Linked DNA regions of Nothobranchius furzeri. Each later gene encodes a partner of the first gene's protein in a complex. Links are inferred from orthologs where the notes say so. Each region holds a gene or a part of one and is shown on either strand. Other genes may lie near its edges.

Region 1 (10,258 bases):
CTTACATCCTTAAGTCCATCATCCTCAGGATGCTGTCTTTGGCGTGTATGAGCAGGCACCGACCATTAGGGTGGAGCTGCAGCATGCTGATGGGTATGCTTCGCAGGTCATCCTCAGAGATTTTCTGCAGAGACAAGAAAAAAGTCCATCCATCCATTTTCAGCCGTTTATCCGGAGTTGGGTCGCGGGGGCAGCAGCCTAAGCCGAGACACCCAGACTTCCCTCTCCCCAGCTACTTGGGCCAGCTCTTCCGGGGAAATCCCAAGGCATTCCCTGGCCAGCTGGGAGACGTAGTCCCTCCAGCGTGTCCTGGGTCTTCCCTTTGGTCTCCTCCCAGTTGGACGTGCCCAGAAAACCTCACCAGGGAGGCGTCCTGACCAGATGCCCGAGCCACCTCAACTGGCTCCTCTCGACGTGGGGGAGCAGCGGATCTACTCAGAGCCCCTCCCGAATGGCTGAGCTTCTCATCCTATCTCTTAAGGGAGAGCCCAGCCACCCTGCGAAGAAAACGCATTTCGGCTGCTTGTATCCGCACTCTCGTTCTTACGGTCACTACCCAACGTTCATGACCATAGGTGAGGGTAGGAACGTAGATCAACCGGTAAATGGAGAGCTTTGCCTTCCGGCTCAGCTCTCTCTTCACCACGACAGATCGGTACAACGCCCACGTCACTGCAGACGCAGAACCAATCTGCCTATCAAACTCACACTCCATTTTCCCTCACTCGCTCAAAGAAGAAAATATTTGCAGAGAAAAATATCTTTTTGTGTCTGTGAGAATTTAGTTTGACTCCAATTGAACAAATCTAGACTAGAGCCCTACACTGGGACTGGGATCCCACAGAAACCAACGCTAATCTGGTGGATGCTGGCAGTTGTGAGACTGCTGTAGGAGGGAGCGGGTGGCTAGAAGTATACCACGAATCTCAAGACTGTTGATAGGATGAAGAGTACAACTGAGGCTACAGAGGTAACACGCGACATAAATATAAACGTATTTGATCGTAAAACATGTTGTTTTGTTATTTAATGGAGCTGCAGGTGGAGGTGGGGTTGGACACAAACTTTGCGAGATTGCATGGGAGTGACAGAAACAGACAACATAAAGAATAGTCCCACACGGGCTCTAATCTAGACTCGTACCCTCTCTATGCACCAACGATGACATGGCTTCTGTCGGTTCTTGTCATCATTCACTGAAGTTTTCCACACGATGATGGTGCCTGTGTTGTCTGCAGAGAACATCCTAGATCCTGTTTACACAAAAGAAATTACCATAAACAGTCAGAGGTGTTTAGGAGGGACTGAACCAGATGGGAAGGACTTGGTGGGGTCATCTAAACATTTGGAAGCTAATACCTTCAGAGTCAAAACAAATGGTGTTGATGAAGCTGCTGTGACCCTCAAACTCTTGCAGCAGCTGGCCGTTCACATCAGGGACATCAAGCCTCCACACTCGCACCAGACAGTCGTAGCTCCCTGTCACTGCCAGGTTCTGAGCGCTGGGGTGGTACTGAGCGCAGTACACGAAGGACGGATGAGAGAGGACCTTCTGGGCTGTTTCTAGAAGCATCTCGACATTCCACTCTCTGAAGGAGGAGATGAAAAGGAAGAAAGTGCTGTTTTATAAAATGTATTCCGAAGCTTAACAAAATCACACTGATATAGTAGGAGAGGCTACTGCGCCCTCTTGTGGGAACTTACCTCACCGTTCCGTCTGAGGAGGCAGACAACAAGCTTTTATCATCTCTGGACCAGCAGAGATCGTACACTATCTTCAGATGGCCGCTGAAGGCAGCTAACGCTCTGCCGGAGGGAATCTCATACACTGGAAAATTAGACAAATACGTTCTTTTAAAAGGTGCTTCCTCTCCCTTCTCCTGCATGCATGGATGGTTGAGGACTTCAATACAAAGTTGTGTAAAGAAACTCCCAAAATCGTTGCTGCTCACAAATAAGGTGAATTTTGTACAGATGAGGTGTGGCTCACCTACGACGGGGAAAGCATCTTTGTCGGCACAAGCAGCAGCCAGCATGGTTCCAGCGTGAGAAAACAGTACGGTGAAACATCCCATCTGACCCCCACGGAACGACCAGACCAGTTTGTTAGGGATTCGGCAGATCTGCAACACACAGACAAGGTCTAGTCCTGAGCTCTTCACTTCCTTAAGTAGATCAGATAATAAACATTTGATAGAAAGCAGCATCATGTGACTTGGAGCCTCCGCCGACCTGACCAACAGCACGGCTCCATCTCAGGATCGGCTGCTTGCTATCAGGAGGCTGTGTCAGAGTTTTCTGTGTGATCTCTTTCTGCAGATCACTATAGGTGGTGCTGCCTCTCTCCTCCTGTAGCGCCATCATAGATCGGATACCGGGGTCCACCTGCACAAACGGCACAAACCAACTCTGCTTTACCAAAGTAGAAGTATGGACAACAGAAAAACGTAATGAATCATCAGTTTCTAGCTGCAGACTTACATGTTCTGGGAGTTTGATCCCTTTCACGGTAACATAAAGGGTGGAAGCATAATGGATTCGTGGGTACTTCCTCCACCACTCAAACACTTCTATCGTTTTAGTTTGTCTCTTTGCCCGAGGTGGAGGGCAGAAGAGCTGGAGACGAAGTTTACTGTCGATGTTTAAAACATCATTTGTGCCAACAAGCTAAAATATGGAGAGAAAACATGTTTAAAAATGATGAACAGTAACAAATATAGACTGACAAGTGAACAGAATGTTCTCTTTACCTTCAGAAACGCCCATGCGACCTTTCTGAACCCTTGCTCGTGTTTATCAACGTCCAAGTTGGCTTTTACCTCCTCCATGGTCTTAAAATCCAGGATCTTAAAAAATATTTAGAAAATAAGTGACTTTTCTTAAAATATGGTTATTCACTTGGTAATGAAGTATATCTCACTTCAAAGAAGAGGATGACTCTGGGGCTTTCATCCTTTTGCTCAACAAAGTAGCCAAAGCGTTCGTTGAATATGATTAGCTCTTGCCACTCGGGGATGATGGATTTGTTCTTCTTGAAGTCAAAAGGCTGAGTCATGATAGGGAGGATATGGTCGACGTTCTGTCCCTCATAATAGGAAGACACAGGTCGATGGCTTCAAAACACAAACAGATTTCACTTTTAATTAAATGTTTGAGCATGAAAACATTTTTTTAAACTGTAGCCCAAATATTTTAACGCTGATAGGTGTAGCAGCATAAGATCAGAGATAACTTCTTCTCACCAGTCCCTTTTCTTCACATAATTGCCCGTGATCTCATCAACAACGTGGATCTTCACCATGGGGTGCGAGATCAGTAAGTCCGTCTTCAGGCGATCCGTTTTATGAACGAACACTCCCAGAACAAGACCGTCATCAAATGTCGGCTTTTGCTCCTCTGCTGCTTCAGCTTCACTTTCTTCTTTGACAACTAAAAAGTTGAGAAAAATAACTCATCAAAATCTCTTTTTATGTTACACAAATTACTTTGTTTTAAAAAACTACCGTGCTTCTTCTTCTTTTTCTTCTTTCCCTTTGATTCAGTTTTATTTTCCTCATCAGCATCTGGATTGACTTCCTCATCTTGATCCCTGATTAAAGAAAAAAAAAGTCAAAATGCTGCTTAAACTTTATTCTTGATATCAAAAACTACAATAAAGCTAAAATTAGAGAGAAATACACACCCTACATCTGACTCAGTTGTTACAGATTTCAGCTTTTTCTTTTTCTTCTTCCCCATATCATTATTCAACACAGCACTTTGTGAGTTAACAGTTTCCCGTTTGACCCTTGTTTTCTTCACAGTCAGCTCCTCTTCCTGTGCCATCTGCTGCTGGTATTCATGCAGTAGTTTATCTTCTGGATCCTCCACCGGACTCTCTGCAACATCTTCTACATTTTCTCTGACTTTTCCCTTCTTACTTTTTCCTTTTCGTTTCTTTTCACCAACAGCAGCTTCTGGATTCAAAGTATTGTCGGCTCTAGAAGCATTTGCCCCCTCCTGTAAGTCCTCTGGAATGTCTTTGGGTACAGGTAAAGAAGGGAGGTCCCTCTTACTCTTCCTTTTGGCTTTTGATGCTTTAACTTCTTCATCCTTGCTGTTGTTACAGTTAACCTGTTCTGCTGTTTCCTTTTCTCTTCGTTTGTTTTTGGAATAACGAGGGCTGCCCTGTTCAGGGTCATATGTGTTTTGCAGAATGGTTTCGTCATCTTCTGTGTCTTTCTCAAGGTTCAGCTTCCTGGTCAGATTCTGAAGCTTTGAAAAAAGAGATCGACAATAATAATACATGTGATTTATTAATATTTTAAATTGCTAGAACTGGTTCACATTAAAGAAAATAGAACATTCTTCTGTTGCAGATGCTTTCTATAATTATATTTCATAAATAACTCAAGTTTGAATACAACACTGCAGCCAGAATGTAGAACATTTGATGACAACCACTGGGTGGAAAACAGCACATGTCAGAACACCTACCACTATGGTCTCGTTTGCTTCATGGATTTTCTTCTTTGACTTTTTCTTCTCAGATCCTGAATATTTTTTGAAGACTTCATTAAATCTTTCCCGGGTCTCTTCACTCACACCTGGAAATGTTTATTTTTTGTTATCTATACAATTCTTGATTACAAAAGTTGCTTGAGATAAACACTTTAGAATCATTTGCTGAATTTGTAAGTGGTTGTAAAAAAACACTGATTACATATGGTAGTGGCCTGTAATAGTACGGCACCTTCTTAGGGTTCAACAACCCCCCAAGGCGCACCACAACACAATCAGTCATTCACACACACACATACACATGCTGGTGATGATGAGCAACAATGTAGCCACAGTTGCCTTGGGGCGCACTGACAGAAGGGGGACTGCTGAACACGGGCGCCACCGGTCTCTCCGACCACCACAAGATGGGTTAAGTGTCTTGCCCAACGACACAATTCTCTGGCGGGAGCTGGGATCAAACCTGCAACCTTCTGGATGCTGGACAACCTGCCCTACCTCCTGAGCTACTGCCAGCTTTGGTTTTGTTTGACTTCCATGAAAATACAAAACAACATCAAATAATCTGAGAGAATGTAATAAATTAAAAGGATTTTAATATTAATTTAACAATAACACTTAATATATATTTTTTATTTAGTGTAAAACTTTAATCTCTGGATTGGGTGGTCACTGAAAGATATTTGACTGGTTTACTAGTTATTAAATAATTTCTATATATTTTTTAATTGATTTATTCACAAAAATTGTTCTTTAGTCGCTTCAGGACAGCTGAACACTCACCTGGCATTTTCAAACATCGTGCTGTTTCTCATTCTGAGGGAAAAACGCCAATAATCCAGAAAAAAGCGTATCTAAAATACAAAGCAAAATGTCGCAGCTCACATTCGCGACTCTAAAGTGAGCATTAAGTTTCACTTAATGATACTAGAACGTGTCCGCTTAACGGAGACACACGAGATGTTTTATTAATAATATTTGTTAGCTATTTCACCAGAAGCTAGTTAGCTAGTTGCTAGCTAAATTGCTCTGGTCACGTACTACGCCTAAAAAAGTTATATCTTTGTTATTGAAATACATTATTGAACCAAAATATAACCATATAATTGTTTTTAATAAGTTAATGTGAGCTTTCTACTTGAAACTCCTTGTTTGAACGCGGGTTACGCTTAAACTGTCCTCTACCGCACAACGCCGTGATGGTTTCCAAGTCAACAACGTACGGGCGGAGCGACGTAGATAAACAAACAAAAATGTAACCAATGAAATTTAAGGACACGAGAACGCTATAGCACGTAATGAGTGTAGCTCCCCCCAAATGCTGCGTTCAAAGACGAACATAAACTTGGATTTTCCTAACTTATTGCAAGAGCTCAAAGCAAACAGTGTGGCTCACTTCTTTCTCCCACAAATTAGTCAGGATTAAATTTACTTATACGTTTCTACCCGTAAAATGCTATATTTTTAATTAAGATAAAAGTTGGAGAACACATACATTCATGGTTTACTTTTCGAGCTTTGTAACTTCAGTGAAGGATGAATTAAGAAAATTATCATGTCAGAGTATTCAAGTTGTCTTGAGCTATAGATTTTCTATTTGATACTTGCACAAATGTGTAAAGTGTCTGAACAGTTATATATACATTCCTAACACAAACTATAATTATGCATTACATAACAGTCTTGTGACTTTACAGGTGAGTCCTGCAGGTGAAGCAGACACAAGTGTCAGAACATTTCATGTGAAGAATCACGGCTTTTATGAGAGCTGCTCCAGGTTGCTCAGAGGACTTTTTGATCGTTTGAAGAGATTTTGGGGAGATGTTGAACAAAAAGTAAATGAAGTTTTCAGAGAAACCTTCAATGTACCTGCTTAAGGAACACACCTGAGATTGAAATATGAAATATGAAATAGGATTCAAATAGTAACACACTTATTTGATGATTAGCTCAAAATAAAAATAAAAACGTATTAATGAAAATACCAAAATATTTCAGATTTATGCAAAAAATGATCAATAAAACTTTAAAGGCGTCTCATGAGTTTTCCTTGTGAAACCCATCAGAATCGTGGGTTTATTAATTTATTTTCCATTTTAAGTTTATTCTCCATATATTTTCTGTAACAGCCATGTACAAAATCATTAAGGGCCGCACTTTGGGTACCCCTGATCTGAGATCTGCCCAGATTAGCTGCAAAAGGATTTTTGTTTAAATGAAAGGAAAAGCTGCAGAAATGTTCCATTAAAATCTCTGTTTTCATTTTCCAAAGTTCCTATTTAGATGCATGAGCATTTTCACATGACCCAAAGTCTTTGAGTAATTCAATCATAGATCGTCCAAGTATCAAAAAGAAGGAGCAGTTTGTACTAGTGAACATAATCCGGTCCGGGACTGGTTTGTGCTTTATGTTAGTTTTCTGAGGATTTTTAGACTAGATCTATGAGACAGGAGATTTGTGCTTTCTTCTTCTGCAGATGGACACATTTCATCGGTGCTGGCTAACAGCGAGCTGGAGGACTAGCTATGGGAGGTGCATGCACAGATAGATCAGGCAGCTGCTGCAAATGATCCATGCTCCTCTCTCCTGTTAACCCATGACTCACCCAGAACATGTTTACTTTCATGCACTGAATGGAGAATCCTTGAAGAACCATGCATTTTAGTGTTTTTACTCCACTGTTTTTATTTAAACATGAGATCAAAAGGATAGATTGAGCATAGATTCAACTTTAATCAATTATGGCATATATTCAGACACTTTAACAAGCTAGTCATGAGCAGCACTTAAGCTATTAGATCAAATAGGAAGAATCCGTCACATTTTCTACTTTTATTATAATAAACACATTTAACCTACGGGACTTTGCTTTGTTGGGTGGTTGCACAACATCAATAGCCTGGCAAGCCAGACTAAATAAATGTATTATTTAGTCTGGCCACGCTCCATTGACGGCTCTCGGTTGTGGGGCGGGTTCTACCGTTGTCTTTCAAATGATCTCCGCATTCCATTGGACAATGAATGTGACATACTCTTGTTTCACTCTGTTGCATCATCCCACCCACCAGGCAAATAGAGTGCCCTGATTGGCCCACAAAGCGGATAAAGCTCTGTGATTTGCTCACTAAGCAGATAGAGCACTATGATTGGCCCACCATTATGGACCAATCACAGCTCTTTACGTGTTTGAAACCCCTCTAGAGAGCTGTGATTGGCCAGCCAGAGCCCTGGTAGGAGCTGTGGAGGTTCCAATGGAGCATGCCTAGACATACTTTGCAAAGCAAGAATTTGGTCTAGTTCACTAGGCTACAACATCAAAGCAACAGTCAGTGCAAAAACAGCATTGTGCATTGTATCCTCTAAAACCACACACACACACACACACACACACACACACACACACACACACACACACACACACACACGCACGCACGCACGCACACACACACACACACACACACACTTATAAAATTAAAGCAAGTCTTTGGAAGCTATGCTCCTGTAGCAGCTTTTACATATGTGATTGTTGTCTCTCCGATTGCAGTAACTCATGTTTCACATACACACGTCTTGATCTATTCTACATCTGCAAAGGAAGGCAGAGCACTTTGGAAGCAAGAGCTATCAGGTAAGAGCAGAAAAGCACAGAACAAGATGTGACTGTTGGAGTGGTCAGTAACGGCCTTTGACAACAAACTATCATCAGGTACGAGCTCTACAGCACTTTAGGATACGTCTGTAAGTGATCAGAATTCTGCTATTTTAGATTAATATGTAATATTTAACTGATGTAATATTTGTGCCACTGACTACAAACAGATTAGTAAGAAGATGCTGACGTCCTCCCGAGGAGGCAAGGCTGTGAGTTTACATGCTCCATCAAGGCGCTGAAGGTTAGCAACAACATGGCTGTTCTGCAGCTTCCTGCGGCTCTCCAACGATGTCCCTGTCTACTCAGCAGGACATCAGATGACTTCTGCACAATGGAAAAATGCAAAAACTTATTACAAAAAAGGCTTTAAAGAGTATTTTCAACCACTTCAATGCAGAAATGATACAGTGTCTGAAAACTGACGATATATTTGTCTTTCTTTTTTACCTTGGGGGGGTTTAAGGACATCGAAGTGAGGGTGGGATGTGTTCAGACTACCAAACACATCCAGATAAATGCATCCCAGAATTAAATCAGTCATTTTCAGTGTGTAGAGGGTTTGAAGAGTATGCATGGATTATAAAAATCTTCCACTTTCATTTTAGGGGTGGCAGTAGCTCAGGAGGTAGAGCAGGTAGTCCGGTAATCGGAAGGTTGCAGGTTCAATACCGGCTTCTACCAGAGAATGCTGTTGTGTTCTTGGGATAGACGCTTAGCCCAGCTTGCCTACTGGTGGTGGTCGGACGGACCGGTGGTGCCAGTGTATGGGAGGCCTCGCCTCTGTCAGTATGTCCCAGGGCAGCTGTGGCTACATTGTAGCTCATCACCATCAGCGTGTGATTGTGTGTGTGAATGGGTGATTGTGTTGTAAAGTGCCTAGAAGGCACTATTCAAATGTAGGCCCTTTACCACTGACCACAAGTAAATCATCTTTGAGAATAGACGACCCAGATGTGCATCCAGATGAACAAGCTGCTAATTTGGGGCAACCATCCTGAATGGTGGCCCATGCACACAGGTTTAACGTTAGTTTTTCTCACCTGCTCTTTGCTGGGTCTGGATCTCCTCCAAACCAGAAAGGGCTCTCAGTGATCTTCGCTCTCTGAAGGCCACCACCGGTACCACGTCCTCCTCGTTGCTGAACCCCAGCTGGGAGGACTTGGCCCCTACTGGCAGCTTGACAGCGTCCTCTATCGTTCCGTTTTGCACAGCAGGCACTGTGTTTTCCTTTGGTTGGGACTGACTTGGAAGGATCCTCGCTAGTGCAGGTTTCTGTGATTATAAAAGGATAAATGGTTTTGGTCAAGGATGAGCTGTGTGCTTTTCATTAGCTGCTGCTGGATGTGCGTCACAAGAGACCCGGGGCGGTGTGCTGTTTTGAAAACTGAGCTGCAAATCTCACTGTATCTGGAGAATCTGTCCTTCTGGTTCTCCGCATGATCTCCTCAAGTCTCTGTAAAGGGTTGTAAAAAAATAGTCTTTGTCTTTAGGAGAACAACTTGGGATGTTTTTATTCTCGTGTGTACAGATAAACTCAAATGTTAATCTGACACTGAATCTTTGTTCATTTTCAAACCGACCTTTTTTCTTGCTTGGCGTTCCGCCTCGTCTTTCTGTGCTGCAGTGTCTCGCTCTCTCTTCAGTTCTTCAGCTCTCTCTCTTTCTTTTGATAATTCTTCTTCTCTCTGTAAGACACATCCACAAGTAAAACAGGAATAGGATTGAAAAATAAACATGGTTCCATGTAATGCAGACGTTTTCCCCCTCATGCTCTCTGACAGTAAAAGCTGCACATTTGTGACACCTGCTTCTGCAGAAGGGCAGCTTCCTTTATAGCCTGAGCTCTCTCCTCTTCCGCTCTTCTCTGCTCCTCTTCCTCCCTCCTCCTCTTCTCTTCTACGAGTCTCTGGGCCTCAGCCTCCTGTTGAGCTCGCTCCTGAGCTCTCCTGCGCTCCGGTTCCTCACGGTTACACCTGAACAGAAGTTGCAGGATTCATAAAGATGTCCTTATGTTTTCATTTCTCATTTAAAAAACGACTTCACCTTTCATCTTCCTCTCGCTGTGGGCGTTCCTGCTCCTCTTTCTCCCGTTTTAGTCGAGCCAC
Region 2 (9,749 bases), on another chromosome or scaffold:
GTGGTGGGTAACTATCGCTGCTCCCTGGCAGGCAGGGACCTGAACAGGAACTATAAGACGTTGCTGAAGGATTCTTTTCCGTGTGTGTGGCACACTAGAGATATGGTCAAAAGGTAGCAACACACTGCAAAAATCAACACTGAACCACTGGTTCAGAAGGAAACCTCAAATTAAACACTAAAAGTCAGCTCATTAATAATATATAACAATAAATACGTGTTTCTACATTTTTACACATAAGAACTAAAGCAGGTTTTATGCTAAAAGGTAAAACAGTAGCATCTGTTTCACGTTACCAGAACAATTAGAAATTGAGATGGAGGGTGAAATGAAAAAAGAAAGAAACCCTTTAAAGTCAGAAAAGAGAAATACAAGATTCTGTTTAGTTGGATTTTTCATTTCTCATTTTGCTTTTCCGTGTATGTTGGCACACTGCGTAGGAAGCCCTGATCCGGCAAAACACAGATGATATGCTTTCGGCAGTTTTTAAATATTTCATTTTATTCTTTTAAATGGGAGTCAAACATATACTGTGGATATGATAGAATCGTGTTTTAAAAACAAACATATAAATAACTTAAAAATTAAAAGATGTGAAAAAAATCCCCAAGAATACTCACAGCTCTAAACTAAAGGTAGGATAAAAAATAATAATAATCAAATTAATTAGAGGCTTTGTAATTAATTTTGATTAATCGCATTTTTATCGTTCAAGACAGTTTGGGCCCAAGCAAATTTTTAAAATAAAAAATAATGTTAGTGAGGCACAGATGGCACACCCACACTTTAGTGAGTATATTTCTGTAACCACAAGGTCTATTTGATAACTTTGGTCTCATTATAAAGGTAACCATCATGTGATTGGTTGAGATGTGTAAATATTAGTAAATGTGTTATTGATGAAGTGTAAATGGACACGGAACATTGTAAATGTGTACTGAACTGAGTGCTACTGATATACATAGAGGTGTAGTGTAGAGTTCAGGGGAAGTTCTGCAGATAGTTACAACATGCTTGTTCCTCCTGCTGTAATAAAGTTCATACAGGTACCGCCTGCCTGCTTTCTACCAACTACAAAACTTAACAGTAAAAATGTAAAAGTTTTTTCATCCTTTCTTTCCTTCATGAAGAATGATTTGTCACGATTCATTTAATTGTAGTTTTACTTGTGTTTGGAGCACATAAAAAAGTTTCTATGGTCTTCCAGTCCAGGCTCTAGTGTTTGAGGTGCAGCTTGATGATTGATATATAGGGCATAAATTGCGATGCTAAAATTTTTCAGTCTCCAGTTGGGGGGTTAGGGTTGAATTTTAATTCTTGCCCCTATTTTAAACATATAATAAATCAAATTGTATGATCTAAAACCTGCAGGCTGGTCTTTAACCCGGTCATCTCCATTTTATCCTGTTTGGATGTAATCTGCTATTCATTTATCAAGTTTAAAATAGCAAAACTTTCCTATATATCTTGTGAAAAATTCAAAAATTTTTCTGGTCTGAGTGAGACTTTGTGTTTATCTCCACCCACCCTTTCTCCAGACTGATGGCCGACACAGAGGTGCTTCTATACTGCGACTTCCACGGCCACAACAGAAAAAACAACGTTTTCATGTATGGTTGCAGCAGCCGAGGCGACGCATCCCTCACACTTAAAGAGAGGGTCTTTCCACTAATGATGAGCAAGAACGCAAGCAACAAGGTAAAAAAAAAAAAACTATACAGAGTTTTATATCACATTTCTAGTTTGCCTGTTTAAGAAGTTGGTTTTTATCTCCGTGTCTCATCTAAATCTTTACTCTTAGTTCTCCTTTAAAAGCTGCAAATTCCGGGTGGAGAAAAACAAAGAGGGGACTGGGCGAATCTCCATGTGGAAACTCGGCATCAGGAACAGCTACACCATGGAGGCCACCTTTGGAGGCTCCACTCTGGGTGAATATGCTCCCCCTCTATTATGTTGATGCATTTCTACACTTACACCATCATTTCTTCATTTTTACTTTAGATGACAGGAGAGGGACTCACTTTTCCACTCAAGACCTGAAGTCCCTGGGCTTTAACTTCTGTGACACCCTGCTGGACTTCTGTGACCCCGACAAGACGAAGGCGAGAGATCACAAAATGCTCCTTTTCACCTAAAAGAAACAATATATTCTACAAACTGTAATAAATAAATCAGGTTTAAAAAGTGTAATTAAATGGTGTGAGATGTTTGTTCTGTGCAGGTTTAGAGGTTAATTTTGTGTTTTTTATTTATTTTATTTTAGGTTACACACTGTTTGACAGAATTGGCAACAATGCTGGGGAAGAAGGTCAGAGAGAGAACTGGCAAAGATGTGGGCACCGACCAAAAGGTCTCTGTGTCTGAACTGGAAACAAGGTGAAATAATGTTTCAGTTTCTTGAATCTAGTGCCATTCAGGGAAATCTGAATGAAACTGATGTGCATTACTCTGCTTTGCTTTTGCAGCACCGGTGGCTCAAACAGCTCTGACTCAGATGGACTTCCAGTTCATCTCCTGCAGCAGCTGCAGAATGCAGAAGTATACAAAGACTAATTAAACCAAATTATGTTGTTTTTTTCCTCTAAGGGAAATTAGTTTGTAGCATTGTTAGTTATTTCATTTAAAAATACCCAATTTAAACAAATAAATGTTGGTATGAAGCACACCTGACACTGAAAAAAAGAAATATTTTATACTTGGTCTTTTCCAGGTGTTTTGTCCCATGACTGCTAGGAAATAGGGACAGAGCAGTGTGCAGTAAAAGTTACTTTTGTCACTTCGTTAAAAAAAAAGTCTCAGCAGCTCATCATTCCCTGTTTTGGGTAATTACCTACTCACATTGTTCTCTCCTACAGAAAAAAGTCAAGAAGAAAAAGAAACGACTGAAGTCTCGCAGAGAAAGAAACGGGCTGCAGCCAGACGGAGCGAGGAGTAGTGCACGGCCAAAAGTCCTACAACGCAGCAGCACGAGTATCGTAAGACTAGTAAAGAGCCCTTGCTGCTCAGATTAAATTAGTTCTGTAAGCTGATGAGTAACCGTTTCTGCAGGAGGCTGACCTGCCTCAGGACAACACAGATAAGCAGAGAAAAAGAGAGAAACCTGTTGGAGGAGAAAGAAGGAAACAGCAGGTAAAAACTACAGTAAGTAGAAATATGATATGTGATACAAGTAACTAGGTGGGAAGTTTGATTTCCTGATAAGAGACTTTTATTTTGAAGCTCAACACCCTCATAAAAAAGGTTGAACTCTCATCTCCCACTGGTAACCATGGAGACGCCAGTCAGGGGACTCTGAGGAAAGACTGCAAGCACATCTTGGTAAACATTATTTCGGTAACACTTTACAATAAGGGTCCCTTTATTAATGTTACTTAGTGCATTATTAAGCATGAATAAATTATTAGATAAAAGTGTTAACAACAGCTTAACCATATTATGTAATGCATTACTAAGCAGATATCGTCCATGGCCCTTTGTCCTAACCTTAAGGACACCTAATAGTTAACAATAGTGGAAATGTTTTGTTTATTAATGCACTAAGATTAATAATGGGGCCTCTATTGTCAAGTGTAACTGTTATTTCTGCTACAAAATTACATGACCTTTAATTTTTGATCATTAATGAAAGATAATAAAAAGTGTTATTTTAATTCCAACTTGTGGATCTTTCTATGGTATTTTTTTGTGTGTTTTAGGAAAACTGCTCAGGGAGCCGGTGCACTTCATGCCTTCAGCGGAGAGCGTCTCCACATGCCGACACGCGCGCAGCTGCGTCACCCCACTCAGGTAAGGTTAGGAGACACATAGGAGGTTTTCCAGCAGATAAGGACGCATGACTCGTTTCACAGGTGATGCAATAGTGAGAGGACAGTGGAAATGCTCCTCTCAGCTACTACACCTGAGTGCTCTCCTTCCACTTCCTCCAACTTTCATTCCCTCTGCGCAGCACCAGCGTTTCCCTCTGCGCCAATCTCTTTCCCACTCTCAAGTCTGCAGAGGTTTGTTTCTTGAACAGCAGCTTAAAGTCTCCATCGGTTTTTGCCTAATGCGAACCACCTTCTTCTTTCAGGGCTGACATCTCCTTTTGCAGCACCTGGCAGGTAAACTTCATGGATAGATTATAGTTTATTACAAAAGGGTGTGTTGTGTGTTCATAATTTTTGTATGCTGTGTTGCTTTCATGGCAGATGTCCCCCATCTTTGTCTACCAGCATGGCTCCAGCTGTTGTTCCAAAAAACCAGCCGCTGACGAGTTTCACCTCCACCAATACCAGCAGTCGGCATCGTTTTAGAAACAGATCTTGTCTTCAGGCGTCCTCCACATCAAACACAAACCTAATCAAGACAAAGCAGTGAAACGGGTGCCAGGATTCTTCTCAAAGTTCAGCTGCATTTTAATAGAACAAGTTATTTTTGTGACAATGATGCTTCATTGGGAAGATCTAACAGAAAAACACATACGTTTTATACCAAATCTCACTTATCTCTTCGTCTTGTGACAATAACATGCTTTAATTCTTCTGATTATTCTAATGCAATCTCATGATTTCTCAAATAATATTTTCAGTACATGAAAATAAATGTTGTAAAAAATATAAAATAAAATAAAGCACTTGGGTGTTTCATGAATTTTGTTGAAACTTTCTGTTTTGGTCAGAACGTTTCAGTCCCTCTGAAGCAAAAAGCTCCTGAACAAAGAGCAGCGTAAATGTCGGTAACTTTGTACAAAAATTTCTTTTGTAATTAAAAAATAACTAAATGGTCAACAAATCTAAACCAGATGCTAACTAACAGTACAGAGTGAGTCAAGTAAACATGATTTACTTCAAATTTACAAAAGCAATGATACAAGTGGAACAAAATACAAAAATAAATATTTTCTATTATTTTTTAGCATTAAATTTAAAATTGTGTGAAGAAAGTGTACCAAATCCTATATGCAAATACATAGTTTTTGTCATTTGAGACTGGGAGGTATGAAGTAAGAATAAATCCTGATCAAATGGAACACCAGAACATATGTGGACGTCAGTCAAACTGTTGGAGATGAAACTGGCTTCCTGTGTGTCTAACCATTTCCCGCAGGGCCACAAAACCAAAGACAGCCTGGATCAATCAGAAAACAAAAAAAAAACAGATTACAATCAGTCACAATTACTTGATCTCAAATTTGAGAAAACACAATAACATGTGTATTTAGGTGCATTTGCCACGTAAAATGGAGCTGAGAATCCAGTCATACCTGTGTGAGGATAAATATGGCAAGAACTATGTGGACACCTCTCTCCAAGGGCAGTATGATTATGGCTTCATTAAAAAGTTGAAAAAGAATGAGTGGAAACTGCAGCAGGATGCTCAGCAGCCAAAAGCCGGCCAACTCTGGAACCTTCCACAGATCAGAAATTACATTCAAACCCCACCCTGCATTCAGCACCTGTATCATGTCATCTGAGATGGTCTCACCTTTTCTTGCAGGTTTCCAGAGTAACCAAGATAAAGTCTGATGGCCTCAATCAGAGTCATCAGTAGAAGAACAGTCACAAGGACAAACTTGTAGTAATTTGGAAGGGCAGGATACTGCAAGAACAACTACCATCAGCATTCTTGTTGTGTTGGAAGCTTCAAAACATACATGAAAAATCTGATTCTAAAATGAATTGCTATAGTTTAATACATATCCATACTTAAGCACCAAAGTATCCTAAATCTAGCTTAGATATTTGGGATTTTTCTTTCTTTCTGGGTTTTCTGCTCGCGGCTTCCATCCACCAACCTCGTACCTTGAGGTGAAGCATCACAGCTTCACTGATCCACCAGAACGGGAAGAACCACGTGTTAAAGTACAAAGACATCTGGAGCTGGAGGCTGGACAGAACCCGTTTGTCTAAACACATACAAAAAAAATGAGGGGAACTAACTAAAATCGGTATGGTAAAGTAACAAGGCTACACACATCCATGCTAACATCCATGCTAACTCGACTTCATAGTTAGCTTGTGTTTTTGTTTTTTTTTTTTACCGTGAGGTATAAACGAGTCGTTGTGTTTTGAGAACGGCTCATTACGAGTCTGGTCGAATAAAACATTCCGAGAAAAATCTTCTAAGCGCCTCCTAACTGTCTCCGGCAGCTCCATTGCAAAGAAAATCAGGCTAAAAACAACATGACCAGAGGAGAAACACTTCCGCTTTTTCCTACTAGCTCCGTCGTGAAAGCCACCGTCGTTTCCATGGTAACCATTGATGGTAGTGGGGGTGAGAGAAAGTGAAAGGCCAGAAGCAAAACGTGTCTCCTTTTGCGTTTTCAAAACTTCCCAGATTTTAACTACATTGATAATAAAAATTTAAAAAGCGAGACTAGATAGGGGGGAGAGTATAATGTGTAGCTCAAATAATATTTATGGAAGCTGATTAACGCTACTCATTAAAAAATATCTCATTTCATTATTATGAGATAGCATTTGATATGGCTTTATGTCTCAGAATAATTAGTTACTATGAGACAGCATCATAATTTTTACTAGCTATCTCATTATAGTGATACTAGGGTTGCAGCTATCGAACATTTTAGTATTCGAACATTCTATCGAACCCTCTGTTGATTCTCTTTGACAATGTTTTAAGTGAAACAAAATTGTGGCTTTCTGCAAAAAATGTGTATGTAAAAATAGTATGTATTCAATAGGTGTTGTCTAGTTCCCTCCCTCTCTGCACCAGTAAAATTTGGTGCACATATTTAAACCCTCCCACTGTCCTAATGGGTGTGACCCCACGAGGAAAGTTGACCATTGAGCAGGGTTGATGGTTTATCCCTTGGGTCCACGTGGCAGGGGTGAGGAGTGAGCACCACCTCACCCCTGCCACGTGGACCTCAAGGGATAAACCATCAATCCTGCTTTATGGTCAACTTTCCTCGCGGGGTCACCCATAAAGACAGTGGGAGGGTTAACAAAGTCTTGAATCAGTAAAAAATAGTTCATGAAATTTAATTAATCAAACCATTCATACCATTTAATGATTAATTTCCACCCTACGTGATGAGATGTGGGGCTGAAATGAATAGATAGTATCTCATAATTATGAGACGCTATCCCTAAATAATGAGATTGTGTCTTGTTATTATGAGATAGGTAAGTCATAATTATGAGATACATTTTTTTAATCAGAGTGGCAGGAATGGGCTTCCATACTTATGGGAACCATGCTCAGTAAGTTTTTTTTAGTTATACAAGTCAGGCAAATAACACCAGGAGGAGGAAAAAACCTGTTTCATAGTTGTTGTTTTTTTGCTTTAAGAGAAAATGAAAATTACTGATTGTGTGTGAAGCCACTCCCGCTCTAGCAGAAACTAGGATGGCTGCAACAAGAGAGGCAGCTGATTCTCTGTCCAGCTACATGTGTTCAAAGCTGATGAAGAACCCTCTTTACTGTGGACATGTGGACTTCTGCATGGACTGTGTGAACAGCTACTGGGTCCTGAAGGAGACGAGAGGTGTTTACAACTGTATTCAGTGTCTACACACATTCCCCTCAAGACCTGTGCTGAACAAGAACACAGTTCTGGCTGATCTGATAGTAAAACTGGCTAAATCAGACCAAGCCACCATTGCTGGAGAAGAGGAGTCTGGGTCAGAAGGTGTGGAGTGTGATTTCTGCACTGTGAAGAAGCTGAAAGCTATCAGATCGTGCTTGGTGTGTCTGGCCTCTTATTGTGCCACACATGTGCAGCCTCACTGAGTCTGCTGCTTTCAAAAGGCACAAGCTGGTGGAAGTGTCATCTTCCATGCAAGAGAAGATCTGCTCTAAGCACGACAAGCTGCTGGAGGTTTGCTGTCGCACTGACGATGAATGCATTTGTCTGCTTTGTGTCATGGATGAGCACAAAGGTCATTACACTGTATCAGCTGCAGCAGGGCGGAAAGAGAAACAGGTACGCTTTTTTTGGTTGGTTATTGGATCCCAAAGATACAGCATATAGATAAAATGTAGAGACTTTATTCCTACATTTTAAATGTCCTTGTGGTTGAACACATTATTGAGCAAAAACAAATAAGTAAAACTTCTATATTTTATTAGAAACATGTTGGACACAAGAAGCTATTCCAGCAAGGACTTCATGAAAAAGAGAAGCGTCTGCGACAGCTGAGACAGAAAATAAAAGCATTACAGGTGGTTATAGTTAACAGATTAACACGAACACATTATTAAATTATTAAATAATATGTGTATATATTTATTTTTCTTTCTTTCAGTGCTCTAGAGATGCAGCACTTGATCAAAATGAGAAGGCCTATGCTGAACTGGTGTTGGTGGCAGATTAAAGACGTGCTGCTCTGAAGGAACAGATCATGCATCAGGAAAAAGCAGCTCTGGGCCAGGCTGAGGCACTCATAGGACGACTCCAGAGGCAAACCAGTGATCTGAGGAAGAGACGGGATGAGCTGAAGCAGCTGTTATTAACTGATGATAACATTTATTTTCTGGAGGTGAAAAAACACAAACTCATGCACAGTTTATGGAGTTTATATGGCAGAATTTAATGCTCTTGTTTTATAATTGTCCAGCAATACAGGCAGATTTTTGATGGGAAAGAACTTGATGCAAGCCCTACGTGCAACTTTGACCCACATGTAGCCTTTGATTTTGTGACAAAGGCTTTGTCCGACGTGAGAGACAAAATGGAAATTGCGACAAAAGCTATTCAAGAAATGTCAGAAACAAGTAAGAAAACATATGTTCTGGTGTGTGTGTGTGTGTGTGGTGCTCTTAATGAAACATCCCATCTTCTGTTTTTAGTTGAAGCTGACGCCAATCCAAAGACCAGGCAGGATATGTCTGTGTGTGAGTGATTTGTGTAAAACATTTCCCATCTGGCTTCAGCAGTGATCAAACTGAATCACATTGTCTCTCTTTGGACATTTCAGATTCCTGCAGCCTGAGTTTGAATCCCAACACGGCATTTGACAACCTGCTGCTCTCTGAGGGAAACACTAAGGTGACCTGGATAAAGAGGGCCCAGCACTATCCCAACCACCCGGAGAGATTCACAAAATCCGATCAGGTGTTGTGCTCTGAGGGTTTGTCTGGTGTTTGTTACTGGGAGGTTGAATGGAGGGACCCTCGGGTCAAGGTTGCTTTGTGCCACAAACAAGCCAAGCTGGAAGAAAGTGACTTTGGATACACAGATCGGTCCTGGTGCATTTCCTTCACAAACTCTTCGAGCTATTTTTGGCACAGTGGAATGAAAAACCAAAATATCTGCTCCAGTCTCCCCTACAGTGGACGTTTATCTGAACCACAAAGCAGGGAACTTGTCATTTTACTGTGTGTCTGATGCCGGTGAGATGATGCTCCTCCACAAGGTTCAGACCACTTTCTCCCAGCCGCTGTACCCAGGTTTCATGGTCTCTAGAGGAGCTTCAGTCAAAATAATCATCTCCAGGTCAGGGGTGTCCAAATCAAATTCCCACTGGGCCGAAATGAAAAACTGGGACGAAGTCGTGGGCCAAATTCAATATATATATATTTTTAAAGTGATAACAATGTGCACATTTTCCTTTATCTACAGCTGTGTATGGTTGAACCTATTCATTTGGAAACAAACTTAGTTTTGCAGTAACACTGAATCTGGAATAACAAAATTACACACGAGCAAATCAATGTTTAATAAAGCACATCGGTGGTATTCGTTACTTATTATGTCTCAATTCTTTTAAAGACTTGTATTCCTTAAAATGTGTATACATTCAGCA

Evidence for each region. The genes of interacting proteins can lie anywhere in the genome.
Region 2: ahi1 (region 1) and tmem17 share a complex: the UniProt entries of both Homo sapiens proteins name them as parts of the tectonic-like complex. The link is inferred for Nothobranchius furzeri from reciprocal best matches to the Homo sapiens genes AHI1 and TMEM17.

The regions. Positions count from the first base shown.
Region 1 is NC_091758.1:20,117,649-20,127,906, reverse strand, and holds the start of ahi1 (jouberin), read right to left. Parts: upstream 5,709-10,258; 5' UTR 5,291-5,708; coding exon 5,284-5,290; intron 4,587-5,283; coding exon 4,477-4,586; intron 4,255-4,476; coding exon 3,683-4,254; intron 3,590-3,682; coding exon 3,504-3,589; intron 3,430-3,503; coding exon 3,243-3,429; intron 3,114-3,242; coding exon 2,921-3,113; intron 2,847-2,920; coding exon 2,751-2,846; intron 2,668-2,750; coding exon 2,482-2,667; intron 2,386-2,481; coding exon 2,233-2,385; intron 2,124-2,232; coding exon 1,991-2,123; intron 1,829-1,990; coding exon 1,705-1,828; intron 1,590-1,704; coding exon 1,360-1,589; intron 1,254-1,359; coding exon 1,144-1,253; intron 125-1,143; coding exon 6-124; intron 1-5. Other genes in the region: map7a (ensconsin), read right to left, coding at 8,467-8,477, 9,194-9,425, 9,556-9,606, 9,734-9,838, 9,958-10,126, 10,197-10,258. UniProt on the Homo sapiens protein: Involved in vesicle trafficking and required for ciliogenesis, formation of primary non-motile cilium, and recruitment of RAB8A to the basal body of primary cilium.
Region 2 is NC_091744.1:77,710,757-77,720,505, reverse strand, and holds tmem17 (transmembrane protein 17B), read right to left. Parts: upstream 6,218-9,749; 5' UTR 6,135-6,217; coding exon 6,020-6,134; intron 5,885-6,019; coding exon 5,781-5,884; intron 5,578-5,780; coding exon 5,464-5,577; intron 5,387-5,463; coding exon 5,243-5,386; intron 5,107-5,242; coding exon 5,029-5,106; 3' UTR 4,371-5,028; downstream 1-4,370. Other genes in the region: agbl2 (cytosolic carboxypeptidase 2), read left to right, coding at 1-113, 1,539-1,698, 1,802-1,928, 2,002-2,102, 2,264-2,376, 2,466-2,538, 2,856-2,975, 3,049-3,141 and 5 more. UniProt on the Homo sapiens protein: Transmembrane component of the tectonic-like complex, a complex localized at the transition zone of primary cilia and acting as a barrier that prevents diffusion of transmembrane proteins between the cilia and plasma membranes.